6 linked regions of the Sus scrofa genome follow. The protein of the gene in region 3 interacts with the protein of the main gene of each other region in a pairwise test. Links are inferred from orthologs where the notes say so. Each region holds a gene or a part of one and is shown on either strand. Other genes may lie near its edges. The genes, in order: CHIC2, HDAC4, CDR2, TCHP, C8H4orf46 and KANSL1.

Region 1 (4,513 bases), on a different chromosome or scaffold from region 3:
TCCTGATTTGCCTTAGAGTCTGAGACAATTCTAACTGTATAAGAGGATTCCACATCACAAATGAGGACAAAAGAGACGTTCAGAAGCTTGCAATCTGGCAGGGTTTTAGCTTTTATTTATCCCACTACCTCTAAATCAAGGGTTCTTAACATGAAATATCTAGGTAGAATTCTAGGAGTCCGGGAAAATGGAGAGAATAAAAATTCATCTTTAATTTCACTAACCTCTAACTGAAATGTTGTATATTTCCTTAGATTATGAATGTATGCAACTAACCGGTAGATTAAACAGGACCTGTATCTTTAACATTCATAGAAATCATAGATTTTTCCTATCACATCATATTACCATGCGATCCCCTGCATGCATTGATAAAGAATTATCTAGGGAGTTCCCGCTGCACCACAGTGGGTTAGGAATCTGACTGCAGCAGCTCAGGTTCAATCCCTGAGCCCGGGACAGGGGGTTATAGACTCCAGGGTTGCAGCAGCTGCAGCATAGGTCACAACTGTGGCTTAGATTCAGTCCCTGGCCTGGGATCTTCCATTTTCCGTGGGTGCAGCCATTAAAAAAAAAAAAGAAAAAATATTTATAAATCATATATTTGAGGGGTGTTAGAATTTTGATAACTATATAATTGATTTCCTTTATAATCCTATGTATTTGATTTTACAAATTTAATATATACTAAGCCTCTCCAAATCAAATAAAAAACATTATTCTAAGAAAGGGTTCATAGGCTTTCCCAGACTATCGAAGGGTCTACAACAAATAAAAGGTCAACCCTGCTCTAAATTATCCTGCCCCATCTTACAAAGCACTCCTTTTTTCAGGGCCTCTAACGCCCTTCATACCTGCATGTAGAGTTACTCTCTCCAATGATTTAATAGTTTACATCCAAGACAGGTAAAGGCAGGTTTTTAAGCAGTAACTGCATTTGTTTACGCTCACTGGATGGTAAAGTCTATATAAAATTAAATCATATATACACACACACACACACAAAGAGAGACTTTAGTGTAATATTACAAAGTTGAATGAAATGTACTTTCTGAAACCACAGACTGAAATAAGCTAAAAAAAGTCAATATACTTTATGTCTCAAATAAAAAGGAATTTAATGAAAGCATCTGAAAAATGATCTTATTACCAAGAAAGTGTGGAGAAGGGCAGGAAGTTTATTTTTGTTTTCTACATCCAACACTGTGCACACATTTTAACATCTTGTTTACTCATTTAAAAAGCAAAAAACGGAGTTCCCGTCGTGGCGCAGTGGTTAACGAATCCAACTAGGAACCATGAGGTTGCGGGTTCGATCCCTGCCCTTGCTCAGTGGGTTAATGATCCGGCATTGCCGTGACCTGTGGTGTAGGTTGCAGACGCGGCTCGGATCCTGCGTTGCTATGGCTCTGGCATAGGCTGGTGGCTACAGCTCCAATTAGACCCCTAGCCTGGGAACCTCCATATGTCGCGGGAGCAGGCCAAGAAATGCCAAAAAGACAAAAAATAAATAAATAAAAATAAATAAAAATAAAAAGTAAAAAAACAGGATCTCAAAACCTTCAGAAACAAAAATAACTATATCGCAAAGGTTTCTACAGTAATAAAACTTTGATTCTTTGGGTTAAATAATAGTAAGCTGCCAAGCAAGTGAGACTCAGCAATCATTTAAACAATGGAAATGCCTGAACAGTAGAAGCGAGTGAAGGGACCTAAACTACAAAGAGCTACAAATGCAACAGAAACCAGATTTTAAAAAAACTATGGTAGGAAGATCATCTGCTGAGAACTATGGGAAAAAAGAAATATTCTTGGAATATAAAAAAGTAAATATTACAAATATTACAATAAATATTACAAAATTATATTACAGAGGCAATTATCTACTTCCTATCAATAAAATGCACTAGTTAAAATTTGTTTCCAGTAGAAATATACATCCTGTTTTATAACAAAGAACAAACATAAGCTTTCTTTTCCATATTTCCTGTTATTACTGGATGATAAAATGAAATGTAGTCACACAAACTATTCACTCAATTTCAACATAATGGTAGTTCATTTTTATACATATAACTACCATTTAATTTTTAAAGCTTTTTAACAAAAATATAACACATTCAATCTATACTAATTTGCCATACCTTTACCCAGATCTTGGAAATTTCCTACTATAAAAAGTCAAAACTATTACTCTTTAGATCATTTTTATGATTACAGGATTAGTATGTATTCAGCAAAACTTGTAAAATACAAAAAAAAAAAAATTCTTTAAATAAGAAAACAGAATTCTCCACAATCTCACCAATTACAAATAAGCATTATCAGATTTTATTTCTTCCATTGGTACTGAAATATCAGTAATAACGTTTTAATCAATATGCATTAGGTTCTTACTTTGAACTATTTAGCTAAAAGCTTTACAAACTATTTGATCTTATCCTTACAACAGTCCTATTCAAGTAGGGAGGTAAATACTGTCATTTTACAGATATGTTAACTAGTTGAAAGAGGTTAAGAAACCTGCCTATGATCACATAGGTAAGTGGTATACCCGAGCCCAACATTTTCAATCACTAATTATACCATAATGTAGAGAGAGCATGCTGTATTCCATCCTGACATAATGTGTTGTATCATAAGAATCATAACTATAATTTTTAGATAGCTATTTCATATAACATCATGTGGACATAACTTAATCATTCCTCTACTGGATCAAATTATTTTTCTATGGTATTCAGAATAGTGTGACTCATTCAAAACAAAAAAATAAAAACCAGATAAGTGCAAGATCTGACATGTCTACTTCTAAATTTAAATTAAAATATATAATTCAACTTACTCTTTTACTGAGGCAAATAACTGGCCACATACTGCAACCTAATGTGCAGCAGCAACAAAGGCAGCCACAAAGTAGCCAACGTACATTAACAGGAAGGTTCTTCTTAAGACAACTGTTAACTCTGTTGATGCTGGCTTTAAATTCTTCAGGAGCTACCTAAAGAAGAATTTTAAGAAATAACACTGCAATATTAATGTGAATAAATATGTCTCATTAGCATAATTTTTTCTAATTTGTTAGGAAAAGACTTCAGTTCTAAGGCATAAAAACAATACCTAAATAACCAACAGATACTCACTTTTCCAGTTAAAGAAGAAGGGAATTCTGATTCAAATTTGTTGCTCAGTCCAAATCTGTTTTTAAAAAAGGAGAAAAATGTTATTATTACATGTCATTGTTGCAAAGATAGACTATTTATCTTAATCAAAGGTCAAGTAAATAGAGTGCAACTTTATATACAGAATAACAAAGTTTGAGACATAAACTTAATTAGCAATTTATGAAATGTAACAAGCAATTTTAGCAGCTGAACCAAAGCTTTTATATAAGAGGCTGAGACTGCAGAAAAATATGACTTCTTCGGAACTATCTTTGTAAGCCAAATATTAATGTAATAGAAAACAACACAACTGCCCAATTTTGTCAAAATTACTAAGATTCTTTCAGGAGTTCCCGTCATGGCTCAGTGGTTAACGAATCCGACTAGGGACCATAAGATTGTGGGTTCGATCCCTGGCCTTGCTCAGTGGGTTGGGGATCCAGCATTGCCGTGAGCTGTGGTGTAGGTCACAGACACAGCTAGGATCCTGCGTTGCTGTGGCTCTGGCGTAGGCTGGCAGCTACAGCTCCAATTAGACCCCTAGCCTGGGAACCTTATATGCCGCAGGAGGTTTGCCTCAGGGTGGCCAAAAAAGAAAAAGCGGTTGATTTAATTTGAGCTACTGCCTATACCTTAAAAACTAACTTCAAAGCATATTATTTTAAAAGATGACTTTATTCCTAGCTTTAAATGTTACTGATGGAGATAGGCAATGGTTGTGAATTTGAACAAGTGTCCTTGGTACACCTAAGCAATAAAAGCAGGAGAAGAAAAAAATGTAGGGCAAAGTTGAAAAAGAGTAGAGAAAACAAGGAGAGAAGAAATGGAAGAAAAAAAAAAAAAAGGTAAGGATTGGCAAAGTACTACCAACAACTGTCCTATCTGGTCACCACTCAATACCTACTGTCAGTCCATTCAATATCTGAAAGAAAATGTAGACACGTGCTACATCTATCTCTCTTCCTGTTACCTAAAAGCTCTTGTCCCAAATCACTGTTAAAATATTCGTGGCTTTGGAATTGATAAAAGATTTAAACTATTTTCAAAGAATAGCAAATATAACAAGATAAAACACATTAAACTTAACCTATTGTACTGTTACCTAGTATAAGTTTACAAGTCTACTAATATTTGGAGAAAAAGAGAATTCATTCGAATCAAACTACTGAGCAACTTTTATGTAATGCTTCATGATCACAAGGTCCTACAGCAGAAGGTTTATACAAAATTTTTTGGAGTCCCTTCATGGCTCAGTGGAAACAAACCTGATTAGCATCCATGAGGATGCAGGTTTGATTCCTGGCCTCACTCAGTGGGTCAAGGATTCAGCGTTGCCATGACCTGCAGTG
Region 2 (4,513 bases), on a different chromosome or scaffold from region 3:
TGGGGGCGCTTCGTTCCATGCAGAAAGCCAAGTGTGATTTGGAGGCTGGTGGTGGGCGCTGACCTGGCCCTGGACTTTCCAGTGGGAGCGAGTGGTAGGGCCGATGGACACGGCCAGCACCTGACCATGAAGCAGAGGGCTGCTTCATTTATTTATTTTATTTTATTTTATTTTTGGTCTTTTTGTCTTTTTAGGGCCGTACCCACGGCATATGGAGGTTCCCAGGCTAGGGGTCGAATTGGAGCTGCAGCCACCCGCCTACACCGCAGCCACAGCACATATGATCCACAGCTAACGGCAACGCGGGATCTTTAACCCACTGAGCGAGGCCAGGGATCGAACCCATGTCCTCGTGGGTGCTAGTCGGCTTTGCTCACCGCTGAGCCATGATGGGGACTCCCATTTCTAGATGTGAATGAGATGCAAGAGGAAGTGATGGCTTTGCAGACTTGGCATGTCCGTGGCTTTGGTTCCTGGGCATCACAGTCCGGAGCCCTCCTGCCCTCCTTGGCACTCTGAGCCGCTTCCTCTGAAGCACAGCTTGCTGCTTGTTTTTAACCCGGAAAGAGGCCATTTTTTAAGGCGCCCTTGAATCATTACTGTGTTACTATGTGAAAAACCTAAAGCCTAAAGCCTTTGCTGCAGCCACCTTCCTGCAGCTAAACTTCCTCCCAAGTGAGGACACGGTCCTTCCTGCGTTGCCGGGGTGGCATGAGGACAGTTTATCAGGTGCAGCGTGTGACACCGTTGAGCCACCCAGCAAGGCAGGGAATGCCTGCGCCCCGCCGGGGGCGGGGGAAGGGTCTGCCTTCCCGGGGATGGGGGGCAGGGGGGGAGCGCTTTCTAGCTGCGCGGTAGACCTTCCGTCATGGCTTACGGGAACCTGTCATCCCTTTCAGCTCACGCATCTGCACATTTTTATCTTGCAAATGAAATTTTTGAGCACCCAGGTGTTTCTCATCCTTAATTAAAAAATCCTTTGGGGGAAGAACTAGGAGAGACTTGGTGACCTGTCCATCACGAAGGTGACTTTCCGCGACCCCCCGCCGACGTCAGGGCACACACACCACCTGCTGTTGCTCGGCTCGTGGTTGTGACTGTGTGCTCTTGGTCCCTACCGAGGGGAGGAGATGGTGTGAATGAGACAGTGTCCTCTTAGCAAAGGACATGCCTTCTAGAAGCAAGACGATGTGAAATGCCACAGTGGTGCAGGTCCTCGGGGCTGCTGCTTAGCCCCACGTGGTAAATAAGATCCTCAAATTCCTCTAGCTTTACTTCCTAAGAGGACACCCTCAGCGTGGAGGGGAGGGGTCTCGGAGCAAAGATTGGGTCTGTTTTAAGGCTTTTGACAAGGAGCGCCGAATCGTCCTGCAGAAGGAAGGCACCCATTTACCGTCCACCCGGCAGCGTGTTTCCAACTCCCTCGATCACGATGCTGTCGTCATTTTCAAAAAACCTTTGCCAACATGATCAATTTTAAAATACATTTTTAGATTTTTTGATAGGTCTTTAGATTACAGGATGGTGCTGAATTTTCTTTCCTGAGTTTTTTCTCCATGTTGGTTCTTCTTTGTCCTTCCTCATGAATTGTTGTTTGATCTGTGTGCTCTTTATATATTGGCCTCTGTCTGTACTATCCATTGCCAGCCTTGTCGTCAGCACTATTTGCCTTTTATGTGAGGGGATTGTTTTTATTCATCATTTTCCTCTCTCGTTCCTACCTCTCGTGTTTTGTTTGGAAGGACATTCCCAGCTCTCAGAACATATTTTTAAACATACTCTCCTGGATTTAGTCTGGTAGCTTTAGTGCGAATGAGCAAGTTAACTAAAAACAAGCAAGAGTGTGACGGATCGTGAATCAGGTTCTAATGCTGTGGACGGCCGCGTCTGTCTCGCTGCTGTCACTTGTCAAGACAGCTTTGTTCAGGGGACCGCAGGCCTGGCCTGCAGGCTGTGTGACGGCCGTGTGCTCTGTCCGCAGACCAGCTTGGCTCACAGGCTCGTGACTCGGGAAGGCTCCGTGGGCCCCCTCCCCCTCTACACGTCCCCGTCTTTGCCCAACATCACGCTGGGGCTTCCCGCCACCGGCCCTTCCACGGTAAGTAGGCACCCACGGGTCTGCGGGGTTGGCGGGGGGGCGGTGCTATCACTGGCCCACCCCTGGCTCCCCCCACCCCCCATCCCATTCTGCCTCCCCAGGGGGCAGTGGGCCAGCAGGAAGCCCAGCGGCTTGCCCACGGGCCTGCGGGGGTGGGGGACGTTGTCGCCCTGACGGCCCCCGTCCCGCTCTGCCTCCCCAGGCGGCGGGCCAGCAGGAAGCCGAGAGGCTCACCCTCCCCGCCCTCCAGCAGCGCATCCACCTCTTCCCCGGCACCCACCTCTCCCCCTACCTGAGCGCGGCTCCCCTGGACCGGGACGCGGGGACGGCCCACAACCCTCTCCTGCAGCACATGGTCCTCCTGGAGCAGCCGGCCGCGCAGACACCCCTGGTCACAGGTGAGTGCCCTCCAGGCCCCGCTGGGGTGGGCAGTTGTGGGCTTCAAGGGGGCTGGTGAGACGGCCCCCAGCACTGCTGTGCACACCCCCTCACGCGAGGCGGTGGCTCCTTAGACCGCGTCCACCTGCGTGGCAGGTGCATGGAGTCGAGCGGGTCGGCCGCCCTGATGCGCCAGCCGCTCCATGCAGCCGAGTCGGCTCTGCTGGGCGGTCCGTCTCTCTCAGTGAAGTCACCTGACATGCGCCCTAAGGGACGGTTGTATTAGAAGGGCCCGCAGCAGGGAAAAGCATTACTCCGGTGATGGAGCCCATGGGCTCCCTGGAGGCGAGGAAGCCTCCATCCCACGGCCAGGCCCCGTCTGTGGTGCTCGGCCTCCCCCGGGTTTTGGGGGTTGACCGAGTCCGAGTAGCCACGGGGCAGCCCTGACCCTGAGCCCTCCTCGGCCGTCTGTGCCTACAGTCCATGTGGTTGCTCTTAGTTTTACGGGGCTTGGCCTTCAACCTCACTCTGTCCCTCCCCCGCCCCCGCCTGTCCTTCCTGGGGTCTCGGGCCACCCCCCTGCCCCCACCCCCACCCTGATCCTGGGTCTTTCTTGCGGGAAGGCCCCTTGCATGCAGTTTCACTCCCACTGCGTCCTCCAGCTCCACTCAGGGGCCCTCCGGGGTCCAGAGCAGCACCATCCAGGGTGGCCGTTCACATTTCAGTTCCAAATTAAGAGCACAGGGAAAATTGGTTCAGGCCCACGTGTGACCTAGAAAACGCTCCCTTGGCTGCCGGCCGTGGGGCGGTAGGCACGTGGAACGTACCTTCCACACAGAAGGCTCTGCTGGGCAGCCTGGCCTGGAGGGAAGCTGCAGCCCTGAGCAGGCAGCCACCTGCCCGGCCTCCCAGTGCCTCCTCTCCACACAGGGTACGAGGCTCCCTTGGGCGGGGGGCCGACACGGGCCCTCTGGAAGCACCCTCTTCTCAGAGCCCTCTCGGCACTGGGTCCGGCTTGCATGCACCCACCTCCCGCCAGGAGCCCCGGCCTTCCTCCTGGTCCTGCTGCCGCAGTGCAGCTTCTCATGCTCCGTCTCGTCTGCACCCTGGCCACCTCCTCCCTCCCCCCCACGCAGCAGTTGGTGCGTGGTGGGTGCACAGATGTCTCTGCGACTGGACCATGTGCCAGGCGGGGTGTCTGAGCAGGGCCAGGGAGGGTCACTCAGCACGGGTTTGCTCTGGCGGGTTCTCTGAGGTTCCCGAGGGGTCGGCCCACAGCCCTGCCTGTTGGTGATGGTCTCTGTGGACAGACGGTGTCAGAGCTAGAACCCAGGTCCTTTCCCAAATGCCTGGCAGCGGGTCCCTGCTGGGGAAGGTGCGGGGTCCTGGGTCCACGCGCCGCCTGCTCAGAGCGGCTTGTGCATCCTCGGTGTCAGAAGCTCTGGGACGCCCTCGACAGACTGGAATCTTCCCCTGAAAGGAGCAGGGGGCCCTGAAATGGTCCCAGGTCGAGTCTCCAAGCAGCGGGCCCAGGCCGGACGCTCAGGGCCGAAAGAAGCTGTGTTTGCTGCTCGCTCTAGTCCTCCCCAGGCTGGACACACGTGGGCCAGGCATGTGGATTGTATCTTCCACATAGAAGGTTCTGCTGGGCAGCCTGGCCTGGAGGGAAGCCACGACCCTGAGCAGGCAGCCACCTGCCCAGTGCATCACCCGTGGCCGGCGAGCAGAGCTGTCAGATCAGCGTCTCCTACTCGCCAGGCACCCCACTCCCCCGACCCACGGAGAGCTTTGCAGTTGGGGCTCATGGAGAAGGTTGGGTGCTGGGCTTGCAGCAGGGTGCAGTCAGGGAAGGCTTCCTGGGGGCGTGCACCTTCCCTGAGACTTTTGTAGGAATCGCAGGTGAACAGGTGGAATAAAGGGCCCAGGAGAGAGGCAGGTGGGGGCGCCTGGCGGATGTGGCTGTGTCACCCAGGCTTCCGGCCACTCAGCAATGTGCTGCGAGTGTGGCCACCTCCTGGGAACCTAGCTGGCCATCCC
Region 3 (4,513 bases):
CGAGAAGTCCTGTCCAATTAAGAAAAGCCAGCTTGAGTGGCTGGCAACTCAGCTGTCCCTGCGGCTTATGCCCTCGATGTGATATGACAAGCAGCCCCTGGCTCCCCTCTGTTCCTTGCAGCCTGACCGAAACAATTGAATGCCTGCAAACCAACATCGATCACCTCCAGAGCCAAGTGGAGGAGCTGAAGTCCTCGGGCCAGAGGAGGAGGAGCCAGGAGAAGCACGACCAGGAGAAATCGGCCCCCAGCTTCTCGTGTCTGAAAGAGCTGTATGACCTCCGCCAGTAAGAGCCCCCCTTTCCCGTGGCCACTGCAAGCAGGGGAGCATCTTGTGTCCTGACACGTTCTGGTCTCCAGTCCATTAAAAGGACCCTTTTAGGAAGTGCCACTTGGCTAGTAGATCACCACTGCTTTGAACAAAACCACTGAATTTAAACATACAAAGCCTATGGGAGTTCCTGCTGTGGCGCAGAGGAAACGAATCTGACTAGGAACCATGAGGTTTCGGGTTCGATCCCTGGCCTTGCTCCGTGGGTTGAGGATCCAGCGTTGGCGTGAACTATGATGTAAGCCAGCAGCTACAGCTCTGATTTGACCCCTAGCCTGGGAACCTCCATGTGCTGCGGGTGTGGCCCTAAAAAGACGAAAGACAAAAATTAAAAACAAACATACAAATGATAGAGTTCTTGGGTATTAGTAATTCTGTGAAAACTGATTTTTTAAAAACTTGGGAGTATTTAGTTCAGTGCTTTTTTTTTTTTGTCTTTTTGGGGCCACTCCCGTGGCATATGGAGGTTCCCAGGCTAGGGGTCGAATCGGAGCTGTAGCCGCTGGCCTACACCAGAGCCACAGCAACGCGGGATCCCAGCTGCGTCTGCAACCTACACCACAGCTCACGGCAACGCCGGATCCTTAACCCACTGAGCGAGGCCAGGGACCGAACCCGCAACCTCATGGTCCCTAGTCGGATTCATTAACCACTGCGCCACAACAGGATCTCCTTAGTTCAGTGCTTTTAACTTGTTAAATTTTAATTTACAAGAAGGTGCAGTGCTTCTGATAGACTACAGATTTGGAGGTTGTATTTCACATGTCAGTGAAGAAAAAAATGGAAATTGCAGTAAAACAAAAATGCAGGCCCATAGAAGAGGTTCTTTTTTGGCCTGCAGAGTTGTGTTTACAACTTAAGAGTTATGAGATTGAGTCTTTATTTAATAGATATTTCTGGAGCCCCTGTCACAAGGCAGGTATGTGGAGTGGTGAGCAAGACAGACAGTTCAGTCCCGTGGAGAAGCAGAGAAGCAGATAATCACACACATAAAGTACAGTTCCAAGTTGTCTAGGACCCTGAACCAGAGAGAGGCCAGCTCGTGCATTCGGTGGTCCGCAGCCTTATTCATCAGATTACCCTGTGCAGTTTTTCTTTTTTTTTTTAATTTTTAAATTATAGTTGATTTACAGTGTTCTGTCAATTTCTACTATACAGCAGAGTGACTCAGTTATAATAGACATTCTTTTTCTCACATTATCCTCCATCATGTTCCATCACAAGGGACTAGATACAGTTCCTCTGTGCTTTACAGCAGGATCTCATGGCTTATCCACTCCAAATGCAATAGTTTGCTTCTACCAACCCCAAACTCTCAGTCCATCCCACTCCCTCCCTCTCCCCCTTGGCAACCACAAGTCTGTTCTCCATGTCCATGAGTTTGTTTCTTATCGGTAGATAGGTTCATTTGTGCCACATATTAGATTCCAGGTATGTGCTGTCATACAGTATTTGTCTTTTGCTTTCTGACTGACTTCACCTAGTATGAGAATCTCTAGTTCCATCCATGTTGCTGCAAATGGCATGGTTTTGTTCTTTTTTACAGCTGAGTAGTATTCCATTGTGTATATGTACCACACCTTCTTAATCCATTCATCTGTCGATGGACATTTAGGTTGTTTCCATGTCCTGGCTATTGTGAATAGTGCTGCAGTGAACCTGCGGGTGCATATGTCTTTTTGAGTGAAAGCTTTGTCTGGATATATGCCCAGGAGTGGGATTGCTGGGTCATATGCTAGTGTTACATTTAGTTTTCTGAGGAACCTCCATGCTGTTCTCCGTAGTGGTTGTACCAATTTACGTTCCCATTAACAGTGTAGGAGGGTTCCCTTTTCTTCACACCCTCTCCGGCATTTGTTATTTGTAGACTTATTGATTTGATGATAGCCACTCTGACTGATGTGAATGGCACCCACTGTAGTTTTGATTTGCATTTCTCTAATAATTAGTGATGTTTTAGTGAGCTTTTTTCACGTGCCTGTGGGCCATCTGTATATGTTCTTTGGAGAAATGTCTATTCAGGTCTTCTGCCCATTTTTCAATTGGGTTGTTTGGTTTTTTGCTGTTGTATGAGTTGTTTGTATATTTTGGAAGTGAAGCCCTTGTCAGTTGCATCATTTGCAACTATTTTCTCCCATTCTGTAGTTTGTCTTTTTTTTTTTTTTTTTTTTTTTTTTTTTTATGGTTTCCTTTGCTGTGCAAAAGCTTGTAAGTTTGATTAGGTCCCATGAGTTTTTCAAACTGCAAGATCATTTTGACTCCCTCTGGCCTAAATCAGAATCTCTAAGTGGGAATAAAAGGCTGCCCCAGGTGATTCTGACATCTGTTCCTGGTTAAAAATCACTGCAGCAGTGGTTCTCAAACTTAGCTGCATATTATGAATCACATGAAGAGCTTAAGAAAGACCCACGTCTTGGAGTTCCTGTCGTGGCTCAGTGGTTAACGAGTTCGACTAGGAACCATGAGGTTGCAGGTTCTATCCTTGGCCTTGCTCAGTGGGTTAAGGATCTGGCATTGCCATGAGCTGTGGTGTAGGTTGCAGACCCGGCTCGCTCGGATCCTGCGTTGCTGTGGCTGTGGTGTAGGCCGGTGGCTACAGCTCCAGTTACACCCCTAGCCTGGGAAGCTCCATATGCCTCGGGAGCAGCCCAAGAAATGGCAAAAAAAAAAAAAAAAGAGAGAGAGACCCACATCTAGGCAGACCAGCTAGGTCGGAATCTATGGGATGGGAGCCAGGCATCAGTAGTTTTCTCTTGACTGCCCAGGTGATTCTAGGCTGCGGCCAAGGCCGAGCACCACTGGGCCGTGCTAATTTCCTTGACCAGTATCAGTGATCCTGCTATTCTCTGGGAATGGATGTTCTGTAGTGTTTTTTTGTTGTTGTTTTTTGGGCTGCATCCGAGGCGCATGGAAGTTCCTAAGCTAGGGCTCATATTGGAGCTGCAGCTGTTGGCCTGTGCCACAGCAACAGCAACAAGTATCCAAGCTGCTTCTGCAGCCTATACCACAGCTCACGGCAACGCCAGATCCTTAACCCACTGAGCAGGCCAGGACTCAAACCTGCATCCTCACGGATACTAGCTGGATTCGTCACCTGCTGAGTTACAATGGGAACTCCTGTAGTATTTTTTGTTTGTTTGTTTGTCTTGTTTTTTGCCTTTTCTAGGGCCGCTCCTGCGGCATATGGAGATTCCCAGGCTAGGGCTCTAATCGGAGCTGCAGCCACCGGCCTATGCCAGAGCCACAGCAACGCAGGATCCTTAACCCACTGAGCAAGGCCAGGGATCGAACCTGCAACCTCATGGTTCCTAGTCAGGTTCGTTAACCACTGCGCCACGACGGGAATTCCTCCTGTAGTATTTTTAATGTTTAAAAAAATATCGGTCACAAAAGCTATATTTTCTCACGTGTTTATTTGCCAGCCTCACACATTCCTTGTAACCATTGCTCTAGCATGGAGTAGGCAAAAAAAAATCAGTTGCATCACAGCTCCTCAAAAATAGATAGTTGGAAAAAATCATCAGCCTCCCTCTTTGCATTCCTGCGTTAACAGAGTCTTTAAACATCTTCCCCAGGCACTTCGTGTACGATCACGTGTTTGCCGAGCAGATCACTTCCTTACAAAGTCGGCAAAGCCCCGATGAAGAAGAAAACGAGCATTTGAAGAAAACGGTGACAATGCTGCAGGCCCAGCTGAGCCTGGAGCGGCAGAAGCGAGTGACCATGGAGGAGGAGTTCGGGCTGGTGCTGAAGGAGAACCGCGACCTGGAGCGGCAGCTGGGGGCCACGGACACCTACCGAGCCCGGGCGCTGGAGCTGGAGGCCGAGGTGGCCGAGATGCGGCAGATGCTGCAGTCCGAGCATCCTTTCGTGAACGGGGTGGAGAAGCTGGTGCCGGACTCGCTCTTTGCCCCTTTCAGGGAGCCCAGCCAGAGCCTGCTGGAGGAGATGCTGCTGACCCCGCCCGAGGCGCCCAGGAAGCCCCTCAAGCGCAGCAGCAGCGAGACTGTGCTGAGCAGCCTGGCAGGCGGCGACATCGTGAAGGGCCACGAGGAGACCTGCATCCGGAGGGCCAAGGCGGTAAAGCAGAGGGGCGTCTCCCTGCTGCACGAGGTGGACACGCAGTACAGCGCCCTGAAGGTGAAGTACGAGGAGCTGCTGAAGAAGTGCCAGCAGGACGAGG
Region 4 (4,513 bases), on a different chromosome or scaffold from region 3:
AACAACATAGGCTTTGGAGTCAGACAGACCTAGATAGAAATCCTGACTGTCACTTGCTATATGAATGAACCTCAGTTTCCTCATCAGTGAAGTGGGACTAAAACAGAACCTACTTTACAGGATTTGTGTGATGATTCGTATAAAATTGTCTGGGTTAATATAAAACCTGGTACATGGTATTGCTCAAATATTAGCTAGTCCCTTTAGCACATGCATATGTAAGCTCACTATACATTTTCTTCTTGCAAAAATAAGATTCTATAATGTCTAGTGTTCTGTCACCTGCTCTCTTTCCTTTGGCCAGAGGGCACCTTCCTGGGTCACCCCATTCTGTTGGCTTTAGCCTCTTTCACCCCCCACGTTGAGCTGCGCCTTACCCTTCCCCGTGTGGCTGTGGCACGACTGACTGACTGCTGGTGGCCCCTTCTCGCCCAGCATGCATGCCTACCAGCGGGAGAAGATGAAGGAGGAGGGGAGAAAGCGTCTGGAAGCCAGACGGCAGAGACTCAGACAGCTTCTGCTGGAGGAGCAGGACCTGCTAGTCAGAGAACTAGAGGAACTGAGGCTGAGCATGAACTTGAGGGAAAGGAGAATCCGGGAGCGGCATGGGAATCTGAAGTCGGCCCGAGAAGAGCAAAGGAAACTGGTAACTTTGAGAAACTCTTTAGGAGGCTTCAGAGCAGGAGTCACAGTGAGACCATGTGGGGTCACCTGATAAGAGCTCGTTCCAGAGCCAGCCAAGAGAAGTGCTTGCTCTGAGTTCTTCTTCATGTGTGTTTCCTACGAGACATCTCTATTCTCTTTGGCCCCTTAAACTGTTAGGTCTGAGTCCTTTTTCTTTATGCCAGTTTTGTGGTCCCACAAAGGGCTTGGACTGGTGTATTTTATCCTCCACAGTAGTCGTGTGTTGTGGTAAGCCCAATCTCTGTTTAGTTTGAAACAGATCTTTAGCATCTAGGACCCATCTGCAGCATCAGATTTGGGCCCCCTTTGGCCACCCTGTAAGAGTCACTTGTCAGGGCCCTGCAGTTCCAGGCAGTGTCTGGTTTCCAGCACTGTGGGCACAAGGCACGTGGGAGGTCTGCAGGGCGGTGCAGTGCTGGCGCCAGTAGGGCACTCTTACCTGAGTTGACTTCCACATGGGTTATCCGAAATGTGAATGGATTGGAAAAATGACATCAGGCCTCCCGCTTTGTATTTCCTTGACAGATTGCTGAACAACTTCTGTATGAACACTGGAAAAAGAACAACCCCCAACTTCGAGAGGTGAAAACTGAGGAGCCCCTTCCATTGATTTGCCTAAGTCAATGAAATCATGTTTCCTGTCTTGTTTTTTTTTTTGTTTGTTTGTTTTTGTTTTTTGTCTTTTGTCTTTTTAGGGCCGCACTTGTAGCATATGGAGGTTCCCTGGCTAGGGGCCAGTCGGAGCTGTAGCTGCTGGCCTGTGTCACAGCAATGCAGGATCCCAGCTTCGTTTGCGACCTACACCACAGCTCATGGCAATGCCAGATCCTTAACCCACTGAGCAAGGCCAGGGATCAAACCCAAAACCTCATGGTTCCTAGTCCGGTTCGTTTCCACTGCACCACGACAGGAGCTCCCCACCTTGTTTTTAAACTTGCGTTTTGTGCTGGAGTGAGACAAAACCCTCCAGCCACCTTGAGCTACAAGTGGCTGAGAGGCTGGGACGTCAGACAGGGAGGGTGAACCCCAAGAACTGAGTCTCATGCTGGGTAGGCAGACAGGGCCACCACAGATGGCCTTGTGTGTCCTTCCTCTGGGAGCGTTGGGGAGGGTCTGCATGATTTTAAATGGGTCCAGCTGCATTTTGGAGAACAGCAGCTTTGGCAGCACTGTTGAGGTGGGCCAGAAGGGGTGATATCAATTGAAGGATTGCTGCCACAGCCCAGGTGAGTGATGTGAAGGCCAGAACTGAGGTGGCAGGAGAAAGGGGGACAGAGGCACAGACCTCAGTGCAAGGAGAGGGAGGCGTTTAGGTTTGGGTGACAGCACTCAGCAGAGACTGGGCTAGAGAGAAACAATCCCATGATGAAGATTAGTTTATTTCAGCTTAGTTTGTGTGTATGTTTGGTGGTATTAACTTATAAAGCATAACTACATTTAAAAATTGCCAGTCACAGGTAATAGAATGTTCTGGAGTATTGTATGGTTAGCACTACGCCACAGAGGACTCCTCTCCCCGTGGCTTATAGATTAAAGCAGAACCTCCAAAGTCATGTACTCAAAGTTTATTCAAAACATTCAAGTTAGTTGCAAATGTTTCCATCTATAAGAAATAAATTTAAAACTTTTATAAACAATTTCTCAAAACAAGAGCTTTCAGACAGTGTTGTTTCCTGATTCAAAAGATTCTTTAAACCCAAATCTCTTATTAATAACCCTGAATTTGTTGCATCTCTTGCTTCAGAGCGTGCATGTTTTTACAGCTGCTGCTTTGCAGAGGGAGTGCTGGGGAGCCAGGCCAAGGGTTGAGCCTGCTCCTCACCCAGCTCCTGCTGCCCTGGGGCCTGGCAAGCTTTAGACCAACTGGGGTGGCCTTTGAGATTGAATTTCCATTTCATTGCCTACTGACCCGGTCCTGCTCAGCCCCAAGGGTACTGGGAAAAAAGTTTCTGCTACTTTGTTCCAGTTCTTGAGATGATTTACAAGTGCCTGGCCCTTTGGCTTTCTGATTCACTTGCATTCAACTGTATGTCAGGGTCACCGTGCAATTCCTTATAAAGACACCTGGCCATAACCAGAGCTGTGCTATGCTTGAATATCTCTCTGTCTGATGAACCAGTGGGGACGTTCATATTCTCCACATTCTCATCCTCAGATTGAACTGGACCTTCACAAGAAGCATGTGATAAACTCTTGGGAAATGCAGAAAGAGGAAAAAAAACAGGTATGGTATGTGGTGGGAGACTGTCTCCATGTCTTTGAATTTGTTTCTTGTTTTCAATGTTAATGATTCCAATCCAGGAATAGACTTTTCCTTGTTTACTTAACACATGTTAAAACTGAATATTTGTTGCTCTTACACAAACTAGACTCGTCTGTGGTCACTCCCAGAGGCAGAGTAAGACCAAGTGACCAGGACTGGCTGATGGTAGATGCAACATGCATCCTTGAGGGTTGTTTTTGTTGCTGGTGCCCTATTTTCATGTAGTTTACATCCTAAATTCTCAGACGTGGTTTACAGCAGCACCCCTGGGGATGAAAGTCCACTCTTCCATGGACCCACCGCTTTATCTTGGGGTTCGTTCTGGAAGGTGTTTTGTTGACGTGTGGAAAGGGAGGAACCCTGGCATCCTTGTGCCAGGCACCAAGCCAAAAGCCTCCCAGCTTCATCCCTGAGGACGGCACCACTCCCACGGTTCCCACAGTGAGAACCGAGCTCAGGAAGACACCCTTGCCTGGGCCACACAGCTAAGGGTATAGCCTCCTTGGGTGTAGATGTGCAGAATGAGGAGCAGGCCCTGAGGCCTGCTGATTGGTGGGTGGGGAGCTGGGTCTTTGCTGACTCTGTGCTGTAGACCCTGACCCCGGGTTCCTTTGGCTCTGTGCAGCAAGAAGCCGCTGAAGAGGAAAAGGAAAAACGATATGAAAATGAATACGAAAGGGCCCGACGGGAAGCGCTAGCACGGATGAAGGCTGAAGAGGAAAGGAGGCAGCTGGAGGGTAAACTGCAGGCGGAGGCGCTGCGCCAGCAGATGGAGGAGCTGAAGGTGAAGGAGATGGAGGTGAGGGTGAGCCCGGCTGCCAGAGCCTCCTCGCAGCTGCTTGCTGTTATGAAACAGACATTTAAAAAGCTGTGCTAAGCAGAGATTGTATCAGGGAGATGATTCTAAGAAGTGGAACAGTGCTGGGTCCTCCCTTCAGACATGCATTCCTGTTGCTGGCTCTTCAACACTCCTGGCTTGTGGGCCCAAATTAGTACCTGTCCTCTCAGAGTGGCTGAGAGACCTGCTATCTGTGAGCCTCCTTAGAACTTGGATTTTAAGTGTACAAAGTGAACTTGACCCAGGCTAGCAGCTTTTGGTCTCAAGGCACCAAACCATGAGGATCTTTGGTCCAGGAGGATGTTTTGAGAATACTGGGCAGAGCTGCTCAGAGGGGCTGGATCTTCCCATTCAGGCAAGTATAGCACCCCCCCCCCTTCCCCAGGCCTGAGTGATTCAAGAACCAGACCTTATTCTAGGTGCCAAGCACTGGGATATGGCTAGGAGCACAGCCCACCATCCTGGCCTTCATGACGGGCACTGTGTCAGACAGGGGAGAGAGATGTTAATTTATAGTAAGGCATGGGTGGTGCAGGGTCCTATGGGAGCACAGGAAAGGGGGCTTAGCATCATTGGCAGGGTTGGGAAAGGCCTAGCTGGGCTGCATGGTGCACTGGGCCCAGGGGGCTGAGTCCTGGACGTGGGAGGGTGTCCTGAGCACCAAGAGACCAGGCTGCCCTTGCTGTGTTGTGTCTGCTGAAAATGGAGATGAGAGATGAAAGAAGCTC
Region 5 (5,275 bases), on a different chromosome or scaffold from region 3:
TGTGGTTTGATCTCTGGCCTCGCTCAGTGGGTTAAGGATCCAGTGTTGCTGTGAGCTGTGCTGTAGCTTGCAGATGCTGCTCCGATCTGGCGTTGGTGTGGCTGTGGAACAGGCTGACAGCTGAACCTCCGATTTGAACCCTAGCCTAGGAACCTCCATATGCCTTGGGTGTGGCCCTAAAAAGCAAAATAAAATAAAATAAAAATAAAAATAAATTTGACGCATTTAAAAAAGTAACTTGTTTAGTTTTAATTAACTATTACATTTAGAATTTAGGATTATGGAGTTCCCGTCGTGGTGCAGTGGTTAACGAATCCGACTAAGAACCATGAGGTTGAAGGTTCGATCCCTGCCCTTGCTCAGTGGGTTAATGATCCGGCGTTGCCGTGAGCTGTGGTGTAGGTCGCAGACGCGGCTCGGATCTGGTGTTGCTGTGGCTGTGGTGTAGGCCGGTGGCTACAGCTCCGATTCGACCCCTAGTTTGGGAACCTCCATATGCCGCGGGAGCGGCCCAAGAAATGGCAAGACAAAAAAAAAAAAAAAGAAAGAATTTAGGATTATTACTTGTAAAGCTCCAAAAGTAATAATACACAGCCATAATTCTGATAAGGCACTTTTAAAAGAGCAACCAAACATATAACAACATTGTATACAAGAAATTTCTGTAAAATCAGTTAACCTTAGAAATAAATAGGGGAAAAAATGTGCATTCTTTCAAGTCAAGTTTCATTTTCTTTTTTGAAAATCCATCAGAGAAGGGCAAAAAAATTTGTATTTTAAAAAGATGTTACTAGTTAAAGTTCAAATCCCTGTTAAAAAAGAGAGCAATAATGTTAATGTTTTTCTCCAAGTTAATGAGGTTCTGACTCAAATATTTCTTCAAGAAAAATTTATAATCTTCATGCTAAAAACAGGGAGAAAACGCTGCTTTTAACTGTATTGTCACTGAACATTTAGTGATTATTGTATAACAATGTTCTAGGTGCTGAAAATACAGAATTAAATAAGACACAATAACTGGTTCTACGGAAATTAGCCAAATAGAGCTGAGTCAAACAGTGATAAACCTTAAAGTCATCTCCTTTGTTCCAAAAAAATGAGGCTCAACTTCAAACTCTGCCATGCTTGGTATCTTCTTGCAAATCAAACAAATGGTCTATCTAGTTTGTGACTGGTAACACTGTGGCATTATATTATCTACTGATTGAATTAACTTTCATAAAAGATTGTGTGAAAGTTTAGCAGACATTAAGTATTTAAAGATAAATACTAGTCAGCATCAAAAATAACATTCTATTTTCACAAAATGAAGAAAACCAAGCAAAATTTCATTTTCATTTCACAGAACTGCTGGATTATCCTATCCATATGGTACATCTGCAAATATCGTGAGAACACATGGACTATTACATGGCAAGTCAGTTGTCAGCCTTCAAGGAATCATAGCCTTCTCTCAAGAGGTCCCGCCATGTTTTAAGGAAACGTGCATTTTCTGTACATTTGAAGGCAAGCTCTTCCACTTGAGCTGATACTGCAGATGTGGCTTCGAGAAGTTTGGTTAAGGAAAATGCTGCCTGAAATTTAAAAAAAAAAAAAAAGTCAAACAATATAAGTTGTTTTTTTTTTAATTTTCACCTCATTTTACAAACCAGTCTGAAAATAACAGAACCTCAAATCTGATGCCTCAAATTTAAAGTTATCTTCTTTAAAAGTTAAAAAAAAAATCTTAGAACTAAAATACTGGCTCTTTCAGGGAACCAAAGAAATTCGTTAATATGAAGTAAGCTTTGAGGAAGTAAGATGTGCTAGAAAGATATCCATTATGCATGAGAAATGACCAGTCGATACTTTTTTATTTACAAATCACTAGTCTGATTTAGCTCAACAGGAGACTTGGATCCCTTGACACAAAGTATCAGAAGGAGCTGAAAGACTCCATAAATAACGCTTAATACATGGGTAACAAGGGCATGGCTCCACTATTTTTACCCATGAACGCTGTAGACTATGAAAATGTATAGTCCAAAGAAGAGATGCTCTCAGCTTACAAATAACATCAACAAAATCAAAACAGGTGCAGTAGACAATCATCCCTTGGTGGAAAACTCCTTGATCAAATGCTTTCTTCGCCCACTACATGAAATAGCACTGTTCCTGGATAACACATCAGCACTCCATCCTACAGGGTCACTTGGAAGGAGCGGTGGGCGGAGGCGGGGGAACGAGAGACAGAGACAGAGAGACAGAGACAGAGAGTGTGTGTGTGCTCATGCGCTCCAGTAGCTGGGCGCCTGGAAATTGGAGATTCAACAGAAACCATCCAGACTAGGCATGCCAAGTGCTCAGAGGGAGAGGTCTTTGAACCGTTAGTGAAAGGAATCTGCACCATGGGGTGGTGACTAACCCGTCCTAATTGGATCTAGCGCACAGGACGGTGGGACAGATAATATCTGTCAGCTGACTCTGGGCAGGTGGCCAACTAGGACAGCAGTCCTTAAGTCCCCGGGTAAGAAATCACAGCCTGACCCTCAGCACCCAAGGACAGCAAAGGCGAAGGTGGGGGCGAATGAGATCTGTGTGGTTTCGGGTTACAGCGCGTGTTGGAAACCAGATGGCCAGGCACAAAGAAAACCGGGCGGGGCGGGGCGGGTGGAGGGACACCCCAATTCCCAACGCCTCAACTGGTACACCACATGGGGGAAGGGGCCTTGGGCGGCGTCGGACCCCCACCCTTCCTCACCAGCCCCCCTAGCTGGGCGCGGACCCCGTCCCTCCGGCCCCTCCCGGCCCCGCAGGCCACACCCACGTCTCCGATCTGCAGCTCCACCTCCTCCAGGGGGTCCACTGTCCGGCCGCTGCTCCTGCTTGGAACCGGCCATCCCAAACTCCCCGGGACGCCTGGGGAAGATGCTGAAGATGAGTTTGAAGAGGGAGAGGAGGGAGGCGGCGGGGGAGGCGAAGAAACCAGCAGCTCCTCAGGGTCCTCCATGGAGCCGGGCTGGGCGGCGGGACCGGACTTTGACAGCCGAACCGACACCAACTGTCTTTCAACCGCTCGCGCCCAAAGTCCAGCGACCCCGCCTCCTCTAGTCTCTCGGCGGTGGACCGCGAAGCCCAGTCATTTTCTCCGGACAGCCAATCAGAAACCAGTTAATTCGCCTTGGGCGGCTCTTCACTCCTGCGCAAACCCCCAGTCGGGCAACCTGGACTGTTGAGCCGAAGACTACAACTCCTAGAGTTCCGCGCACCGCCCCGCCTCCGCTTCTTGGCGCCAAGCGCGTTGCACCCTGGGATTTGTAGTCTTCGCTGGTGTCCTCTGCTTGCCCCGGGTGGAAGGGTTCCCTACCCTCTCCGTCTTGGTCTGTGACCCAGAAGTCCTACGGGCAGTCATATCGCGCGTGGCGCAGGCGCACAGCAAGAAAGAGGCGGCAGTACGGTGAAGCCAGAGTGGCCGGCTGAGTAGGGAGGCTGACTCCGCCTGAGACTTCAGTTGTCCCGGCGGGGATGGCGCCCCCCGCGGCCTAGTGGTCCCGTGCCCGGGCGAGCCCCAGCCGGGCCTCCTCCCTCGCTGTACGCCGGGGTCCCGGCTGCCGAGAGCATGATGGTGCCGCTGGCCAAGCTGGCCAGCCCAGGTGAGGAGGGGTCTGCGGGCGCGGGGAGCAAAGTCGAGGGTCTACGAGGGGCGCGCGGGACCACCGCTGGGGGGTGGAACTAGTTCAGAGCAAAGGGCGCAGGGTCGCCGCTGGGTTCCTCCCCTGGGCTTGTCTCAATTGGAAGAGTTGACAACTAGGACATAGGTCATGAATGCAGTGAACTTGTCAACACGGCTCCTGAGCGGAATCTCTCCAAGTCCTGGTGCAGACTCTTATCCCAAGCTCAGGTAATGTCTGTTGCCTTGTTGCAAATGAGTAAATTAACATTTGCACAGATTTTTTTTCCTTGGTCCTCACCTTACTTGTGTATTTGCAGTCATCCTACCCCATTTTAAGAATTCGAAGTCTAGGAGTTCCCTTCGTGGCTCAGTGGTTAACGAATCCGACTAGGAACCATGAGGTTGTGGGTTCGATCCCTGGTCTTGCTCAGTGGGTTAAGGATCCGGCGTTGCCGTGAGCTGTGGTGTAGGTCACAGACGCGGCTGGGATCTGGCGTTGCTGTGGCTCTGGCGTAGGCCGGCGGCTTCAGCTCTGATTAGACCCCTAACCTGGGAACCTCCATATGCCGGGGTGCAGCCCTAAAATAGACAAAAAAGAAAAAAAAAAAAGAATTCGAAGTCTAATGTGGCACATCATCATTAACATGTGTATGCTGCCTGAGTCATCAGACTATCTGGAGCCAGGAATTTTTCTACGTTGTCTAAAATTAACTCTAGGGGCTTATGGTGTTCTGTTTGCCCCTAGAACCATCCTGATGACTTGGTAAAATACCTCATTACCTCCTCTTTTTTTTTAAAAAAAAAAAAAAAAGTAGGATGCAGTTGGGTGGTTTGGGGGATTTTTTTGGAGGGGGTGGTTTATTTAAAAACAAAAGGTTTAAAGTTCAAAAAGTGTACTACAGGATCTTGAATTCTCTCACAACTGGTTTTTAATTTTTATTTAAATTAATTTTGGAGAGTTCCCATGGTGGCTCAGATGTAATGAATCTGACTAGTATTCATGAAGACACAGGTTTGATCCCTGTCCTAGATCAGTGGGTTAAGGATCAAGTGTTGGCATGAGCTGTGGTGTAGGTCACAGACGCGGCTCAGATCTGGTGTTGCTGTGGCTGTGGTGTAGGCCAGCAGCTACAGCTCTGATTTGACCTCTAGCCTGGAAACTTCCATATGCTGCAGATGTGGCCCTAAAAAAACTAAAAAAAGGAGTTCCCATCGTGGCGCAGTGGTTAATGAACCTGACTAGGAACCATGAGGTTTCAGGTTCGATCCCTGGTCTTGCTCAGTGGGTTAAAGGATCTGGCGTTGCCGTGAGCTGCAGTGTAGGTTGGAGACGCAGCTTGGATCCTGTGCTGCTGTAGCTCTGGCGTAGGCTGGTGGCCACAGCTCTGATTTGACCCCTAGCCTGGGAACCTCCACATGCTGTGGGAGCAAAAAAAAAAAAGCTAAAAAAAATTAAAATTAATTAATTTTTAGTTATGGAATAAATAAGTGTACATATTGGAAATTTAAGGATATTAATATTGTGTAAATTTCATGAAAGTAGAATTTTGTCAAATTTGGCCACCATATATTAAATAATTAGGATTTTGTTTAAAGTTTCTATTACTCATGCATGTATTACTA
Region 6 (4,814 bases), on a different chromosome or scaffold from region 3:
AGATTCAAAGATTGGGCAGCCCTGTATGTGCATTCCCCTATGGGAGCATCAGCTGGACCCCTCAGCTTCCCAGCTCTCATCTCACCCTCGGCCTGCTGCCCCTGTTCGTGGGCATTTGAGTGTGGAGCCTCTTGTAGAGGCCTCCAGGGCTGAGAAGGCCCAGCATAGAGGGGTGTCACTTGCAGGCGGAGGGCTCTCACTCTTACACAAATGTATCCTGCCCCAAACTGCCTGCCACCTCACGGTTGTCCCTTTCTGGTTTTTGCAGCTGGCGGGAGGTCGATCTTCGGTCTCTGAAGGGGAGTCCTGATGAGGAGAACGAGGAGGTAAGGGTGTGGTCCTTCCCTCTGGGAGGAGCACACACTGCAGATGCCTCAGGACCTGTGGCATCAAGTGCAAGCTCACTGTATTCCTGCTGTGACCAGGAAGAGCCTGCTGTGGGGTGGGGCGGCTTCTAGAATTGACCTACCCACACTTCTGGAGGAAAGAGGGGCTCAATGAATGCTCTTTTGCAGATCGAGGACCTTTCTGACGCAGCCTTTGCCGCCCTGCATGCCAAATGTGAGGAGATGGAGAGGGCTCGGTGGCTGTGGACCACGAGTGTGCCACCCCAGCGGCGGGGCAGCAGGTGATGGGGCAGGCACAGGCCCCTAGGACCTGTGGAGGGAGGGTCAACAGGGAGTTTGGGCCCTAGCTGTGTCCATGGAAGGCCACTGCCCTTAGTTGCCCTTCGTATTCGTTCACTGGGGATAGCCAAGAATGCAGAAGTTCCTGGGTGTTTGTTGGAACCAACGAGGGTATACGCAGTCAAGTACTGGACTCTGGTTGAGTGGTTACTGTCCAGTTCTAACAAACCCTAGTGATCTCCTGGGCTCCAGGAAAAGGGCTGTCTGTGGCATTGGAGACCTCACCACAGGTTAGCCTTCCTCTGGACATTGCAGTGAGGTTTTATGATCCTACTTGGAAGAACTGTTCCACTCTGTCTCCCTTTATTGTTAACACCAAGAAGCCCCAAGATTCTCAAGCAGAAAGATTTTAAGGCTCTTGTTCTTGTGTTTTTCTTTGCCTACAGTTTTCAAAGTTGGGGCTAATTCCCCTTCCCCAGTGAGTCTCCTGGGCAGTGTGCCAGGGGTCAGCCCCCAGCACAGTTGAGCCCTGGCTTTCTCACAGGATGATAGCTGTACACAACTATTAGATGTCATGTGGTGTACCTGCCCCCTGCTCAGTGGTGGGAAGAAGTGAGGGTATTTGTGGTTCCTAGGAAAGAACTGTAGTCAGTCTCCCTCAGCTCCCCAGATCCTGGTCAGGGATGCTTTTTCATGCTTCCTCCCCAACCCCCCAAAATAAACATAAGAAACTCATATTACCCAGACACTCAAATTCAGATTTCTTGGTGTACAGGTCTTACAGGTCATCAGACGGTCGAACCACCCCCCAGCTGGGCAGTGCCAATCCCTCCACCCCCCAGCCTGCCTCCCCTGATGTCAGCAGTAGCCACTCTTTGTCGGAGTTCTCTCACGGTCAGTCCCCCAGGAGCCCCATTAGCCCGGAACTGCACTCGGCCCCCCTCACTCCTGTGGCTCGGGACACTCTACGACACCTGGCCAGCGAAGACACCCGATGCTCCACACCGGAGCTGGGGCTGGATGAACAGGTAAGGCACCCGCCTTTCTGTGGGATTGGTGGGGCGCAGGTGGAATTGGGGGACAGCACCTGCTCAAGATGCAGCTTCATTTTATGGGCACCCTCCCCCCACCCCGCGCTCATTTTGAAGGGGACAAGGGGCTGTTGTATATGAAATCCACCCATTGTTAAAGGGTGCCCACTCTGCACATCCTTCCTCGACCAGCCCAGGAACTCTGGAGAGACTGGCCGTGGATCCCAGTCCACATGACTTGGGGCAGGAGGCAGGCGGGGACTGGGTCCTCACCAGAGCGTCTTGTCTGCCCACAGTCTGTCCAGCCATGGGAGCGGCGAACCTTCCCCCTGGCGTACAGTCCCCAGGCAGAGTGTGAGGACCAACTGGATGCACAGGAACGGGCGTCCCGCTGCACTCGGCGCACCTCAGGCAGCAAGACTGGCCGGGAGACAGAGGGGGCGCCCACCTCGCCTCCCGTCGTTCCCCTCAAGAGTCGGCATCTGGCGGCAACAGTCACAGCTCAGCGTCCAGCTCACAGATGAGTGGGATCCGAGCATCTAAACAGACTCACAAACTATTGGCATTAAAGCTTCAGAAATCTCTGCGTTTGATATTCAAACATCATATGCCGAAAATTTTCACAGTTTTTAGTGAATTTAAGGAATTTAGATTCTACTTTTTTTTCCCTTGTTTTGATTTTTGTTTTTGTTTTGGTTTCCATGTTTTATCGTCACACACCTGAGCACTTCCTCCAGTTGGCAAACAGAAGTTCAGGATGAGACCTTGCTGACCGGGTCCTGGCGTCCTCTGCACTGTTGAACCACTGGACTTGGCCGTGTTGGATGATCACCCCTCTCCCTTGCACCTGTGGGCAGGGTGGGACAGCCAGGTAGGCAGAGGGAAAGGAACCGCCAGCTCAGCACGGCCACCTCGGGTGAGGCTGGGAGAGAACAGCGTGTTCTGGGCCCTTCCCCTTCCCCTCTGTGGCTTGGCTCAGCTGTGGCCTCCCGGCGGGGTCCCCTTGGTCGTCGGCGCTGGAGCGCCCCTACCAGAGCCTCTTGGCCCAAACTGCCAACTGTTCTCACCCAGGTCTCAGCTGACAGAATGGCTTCCCCTTGTCACCCAGATCTTGGAGACCTACTGGGTTTCCTCTGCATTTGGTCATCCCTGTTTTGACTCCTTACCTGCAGTAACCTGGCTGCGGCCACTCAGGTTCTCAGTCCTGCCCCTTGGTGCCCTCTCGTCTGCTCCCTCACTCTGCACACCCACCCATACACGCCAGTCCTTCCCCATCTGGTCTCTGGAGGTAGGGTTAGGACTGTTTAACCTCTCTTCCCACACCTCTGCAGATGCTGGGGGTCTGGGACATGAGCAGCCGTCTCCCCTGTACAATTCTGTTTTCTCTGACCGAGTCATTTGGTCGTATTTCCTCCCCATCCAGTTCCCTGTCAGAGTCAATCAGGCCCTTCTTCTTTCGAGCTCCTTTGCCTGTGGAACACTGTCTGGTCCTACTGTGGTTCCCATCACTCCCCACCCCCCACCCCCCCAGGTTAACCTTGTGCCTGTCTCATGAATGATCACATCACCAAAAAGGGGGGCAAGAAGGACTTTTTTTTTTTTTTTTCCATTTTGTAATCGTATAAAAATAGTAGACAAACTGCTTAATGGTCGGGGTTTTTTCACAATTTTCAACATTAGTGATTTTTTTTTTTTTTTGATTCTGTTTGCAAGTTAAAGGTTTGTCATTGTTTCTTTAAAAAACAATAATGCACCATATCCCTATGCATAAAGTGCTTCTTCTATTTATAAGGTTGAAAATTCTGAATAACCCTTTTAGCATTGTAAAAAAAAAACCAAAAAAAAACAAAAAAACAAAAATGGAAAAAAAAAACCCTTGTATTTTGTAAATATTTTCTTTTCCTGCTTTGAGCTGTGTATTGGCAGCGGAACATGTAGCTGTCTTTGTTCTATAGAAATGCTTTTCTTCAGAGAAGCTGATCTTTGTTAATGTCTTGATTCTGTTCGCAAAGCACAGACTAGTGCTTAAAAAAAAGTAAGGAAAAATTGAAAAAAATAATAAAAAAAAAGTTACAGAATGTGGTATACCAGGCCTTTCTTGACGCTGGACATGTAATGGGGGTGGCTGAGGAGCCAGCCCTGCTGAAACAGTTCTCTAGGTCCTCTGACTTGCTCTGAACCTTAGCACCTGTCCATTCTATCTTCTGGGCACCTGCTCAGAGCCTGTCTCCATTCTTTCTTCTGGGCATCTGGCAGGGTCTTCTCGTGGTCACCAGAGGGAGGATGTGGTTTTCGTGGCGGGGGCTGGGGGTTAGGTAAGGGATGCCAGGAGGAAGGGGGGGGTCTTTGTAAATCATCTGTTTTCCTTTTTGTTGGATGAAAGTAATTGATCCATTGCTCTTAATCTCACTTGCTCTAGTGAGGCTAGCACTGTAACATTTTTATCTATTCTATATTGTTCTTTAATGGAGATCTCACTTTCCACCATTGACCTCTTCTGGGGTTGAGGTCAATGAGGATGTATATATTTTGCATGGAGCCTGAGCTGGTTCTCAGCATCTTTCTCCTGCGGAGGCTAAGTGCTTGATTTTCTTTGCACAAGATGAGTAAGTGAGCAGGTCTGGTTCTCTCTTTACTTCCTTTTTTCCTTTTCATGGCAGTGGAAGTGAAGCAGCCAGTGAGGCTGCCCATCCTGGCCATGAAAGCTATGAGTTGTGAGGTAACATTTCTGTTTGGCTGCCCTGTTGCTGCTTCTGAAATTGCAGTTAGGATCTGTTCTACTTTCATTTCTGCCTGCAGTGCCTGAAGGACATGAGGAAGAGCTGAGAAAAGTAACATTTTGAAACTGTTCATAAAAAATCAAAGGACTCAGTGTTACAACCTTGACCTAATTACTAAGGAACAATAATTAATATGGCTTTTTTATTTGTAGCATCACAGGGGCTACCTGGTTTCCCTGCCTTGATCTAGCAGACACTGTGCAATCTGCAGTAAGGCTCAAAGGAGAGAGGAAAGCAGCTCTGTAATCTAAGCCATTCATTCAGCTGATTGGCCGTGTTCTGCTTGAGCCCCAGGCCTGTAGGCTAATTTCCAGGGATAAAGAGATCTCACAGAGCCACACCAGCCTTCTCGGGTTTGAATACAGGGGTCTGGGTTT

What was found.
Region 1: the proteins of CDR2 (region 3) and CHIC2 interact in binary tests that used the Homo sapiens proteins (3 or more experiments, as listed by UniProt). The link is inferred for Sus scrofa from reciprocal best matches to the Homo sapiens genes CDR2 and CHIC2.
Region 2: the proteins of CDR2 (region 3) and HDAC4 interact in binary tests that used the Homo sapiens proteins (3 or more experiments, as listed by UniProt). The two-hybrid records come from large-scale screens. The link is inferred for Sus scrofa from reciprocal best matches to the Homo sapiens genes CDR2 and HDAC4.
Region 4: the proteins of CDR2 (region 3) and TCHP interact in binary tests that used the Homo sapiens proteins (3 or more experiments, as listed by UniProt). The two-hybrid records come from large-scale screens. The link is inferred for Sus scrofa from reciprocal best matches to the Homo sapiens genes CDR2 and TCHP.
Region 5: the proteins of CDR2 (region 3) and C8H4orf46 interact in binary tests that used the Homo sapiens proteins (3 or more experiments, as listed by UniProt). The two-hybrid records come from large-scale screens. The link is inferred for Sus scrofa from reciprocal best matches to the Homo sapiens genes CDR2 and C4orf46.
Region 6: the proteins of CDR2 (region 3) and KANSL1 interact in binary tests that used the Homo sapiens proteins (3 or more experiments, as listed by UniProt). The two-hybrid records come from large-scale screens. The link is inferred for Sus scrofa from reciprocal best matches to the Homo sapiens genes CDR2 and KANSL1.

Annotation. Positions count from the first base shown.
Region 1 is NC_010450.4:40,822,052-40,826,564, forward strand, and holds part of CHIC2 (cysteine-rich hydrophobic domain-containing protein 2), read right to left. Parts: intron 3,199-4,513; coding exon 3,144-3,198; intron 3,002-3,143; coding exon 2,846-3,001; intron 1-2,845.
Region 2 is NC_010457.5:138,433,078-138,437,590, reverse strand, and holds part of HDAC4 (histone deacetylase 4), read left to right. Parts: intron 1-1,981; coding exon 1,982-2,098; intron 2,099-2,300; coding exon 2,301-2,496; intron 2,497-4,513. UniProt on the Homo sapiens protein: Responsible for the deacetylation of lysine residues on the N-terminal part of the core histones (H2A, H2B, H3 and H4).
Region 3 is NC_010445.4:23,827,270-23,831,782, forward strand, and holds part of CDR2 (cerebellar degeneration-related protein 2), read left to right. Parts: intron 1-121; coding exon 122-286; intron 287-3,905; coding exon 3,906-4,513.
Region 4 is NC_010456.5:41,070,571-41,075,083, reverse strand, and holds part of TCHP (trichoplein keratin filament-binding protein), read left to right. Parts: intron 1-435; coding exon 436-646; intron 647-1,209; coding exon 1,210-1,266; intron 1,267-2,839; coding exon 2,840-2,908; intron 2,909-3,572; coding exon 3,573-3,746; intron 3,747-4,513. UniProt on the Homo sapiens protein: Tumor suppressor which has the ability to inhibit cell growth and be pro-apoptotic during cell stress. Inhibits cell growth in bladder and prostate cancer cells by a down-regulation of HSPB1 by inhibiting its phosphorylation.
Region 5 is NC_010450.4:47,605,342-47,610,616, forward strand, and holds the start of C8H4orf46 (renal cancer differentiation gene 1 protein), read right to left. Parts: upstream 3,209-5,275; 5' UTR 2,990-3,208; coding exon 2,807-2,989; intron 1,575-2,806; coding exon 1,419-1,574; 3' UTR 1-1,418. Other genes in the region: ETFDH (electron transfer flavoprotein-ubiquinone oxidoreductase, mitochondrial), read left to right, coding at 3,599-3,632.
Region 6 is NC_010454.4:17,093,178-17,097,991, forward strand, and holds the end of KANSL1 (KAT8 regulatory NSL complex subunit 1), read left to right. Parts: intron 1-268; coding exon 269-326; intron 327-515; coding exon 516-628; intron 629-1,401; coding exon 1,402-1,654; intron 1,655-1,953; coding exon 1,954-2,181; 3' UTR 2,182-3,735; downstream 3,736-4,814. UniProt on the Homo sapiens protein: Non-catalytic component of the NSL histone acetyltransferase complex, a multiprotein complex that mediates histone H4 acetylation at 'Lys-5'- and 'Lys-8' (H4K5ac and H4K8ac) at transcription start sites and promotes transcription initiation.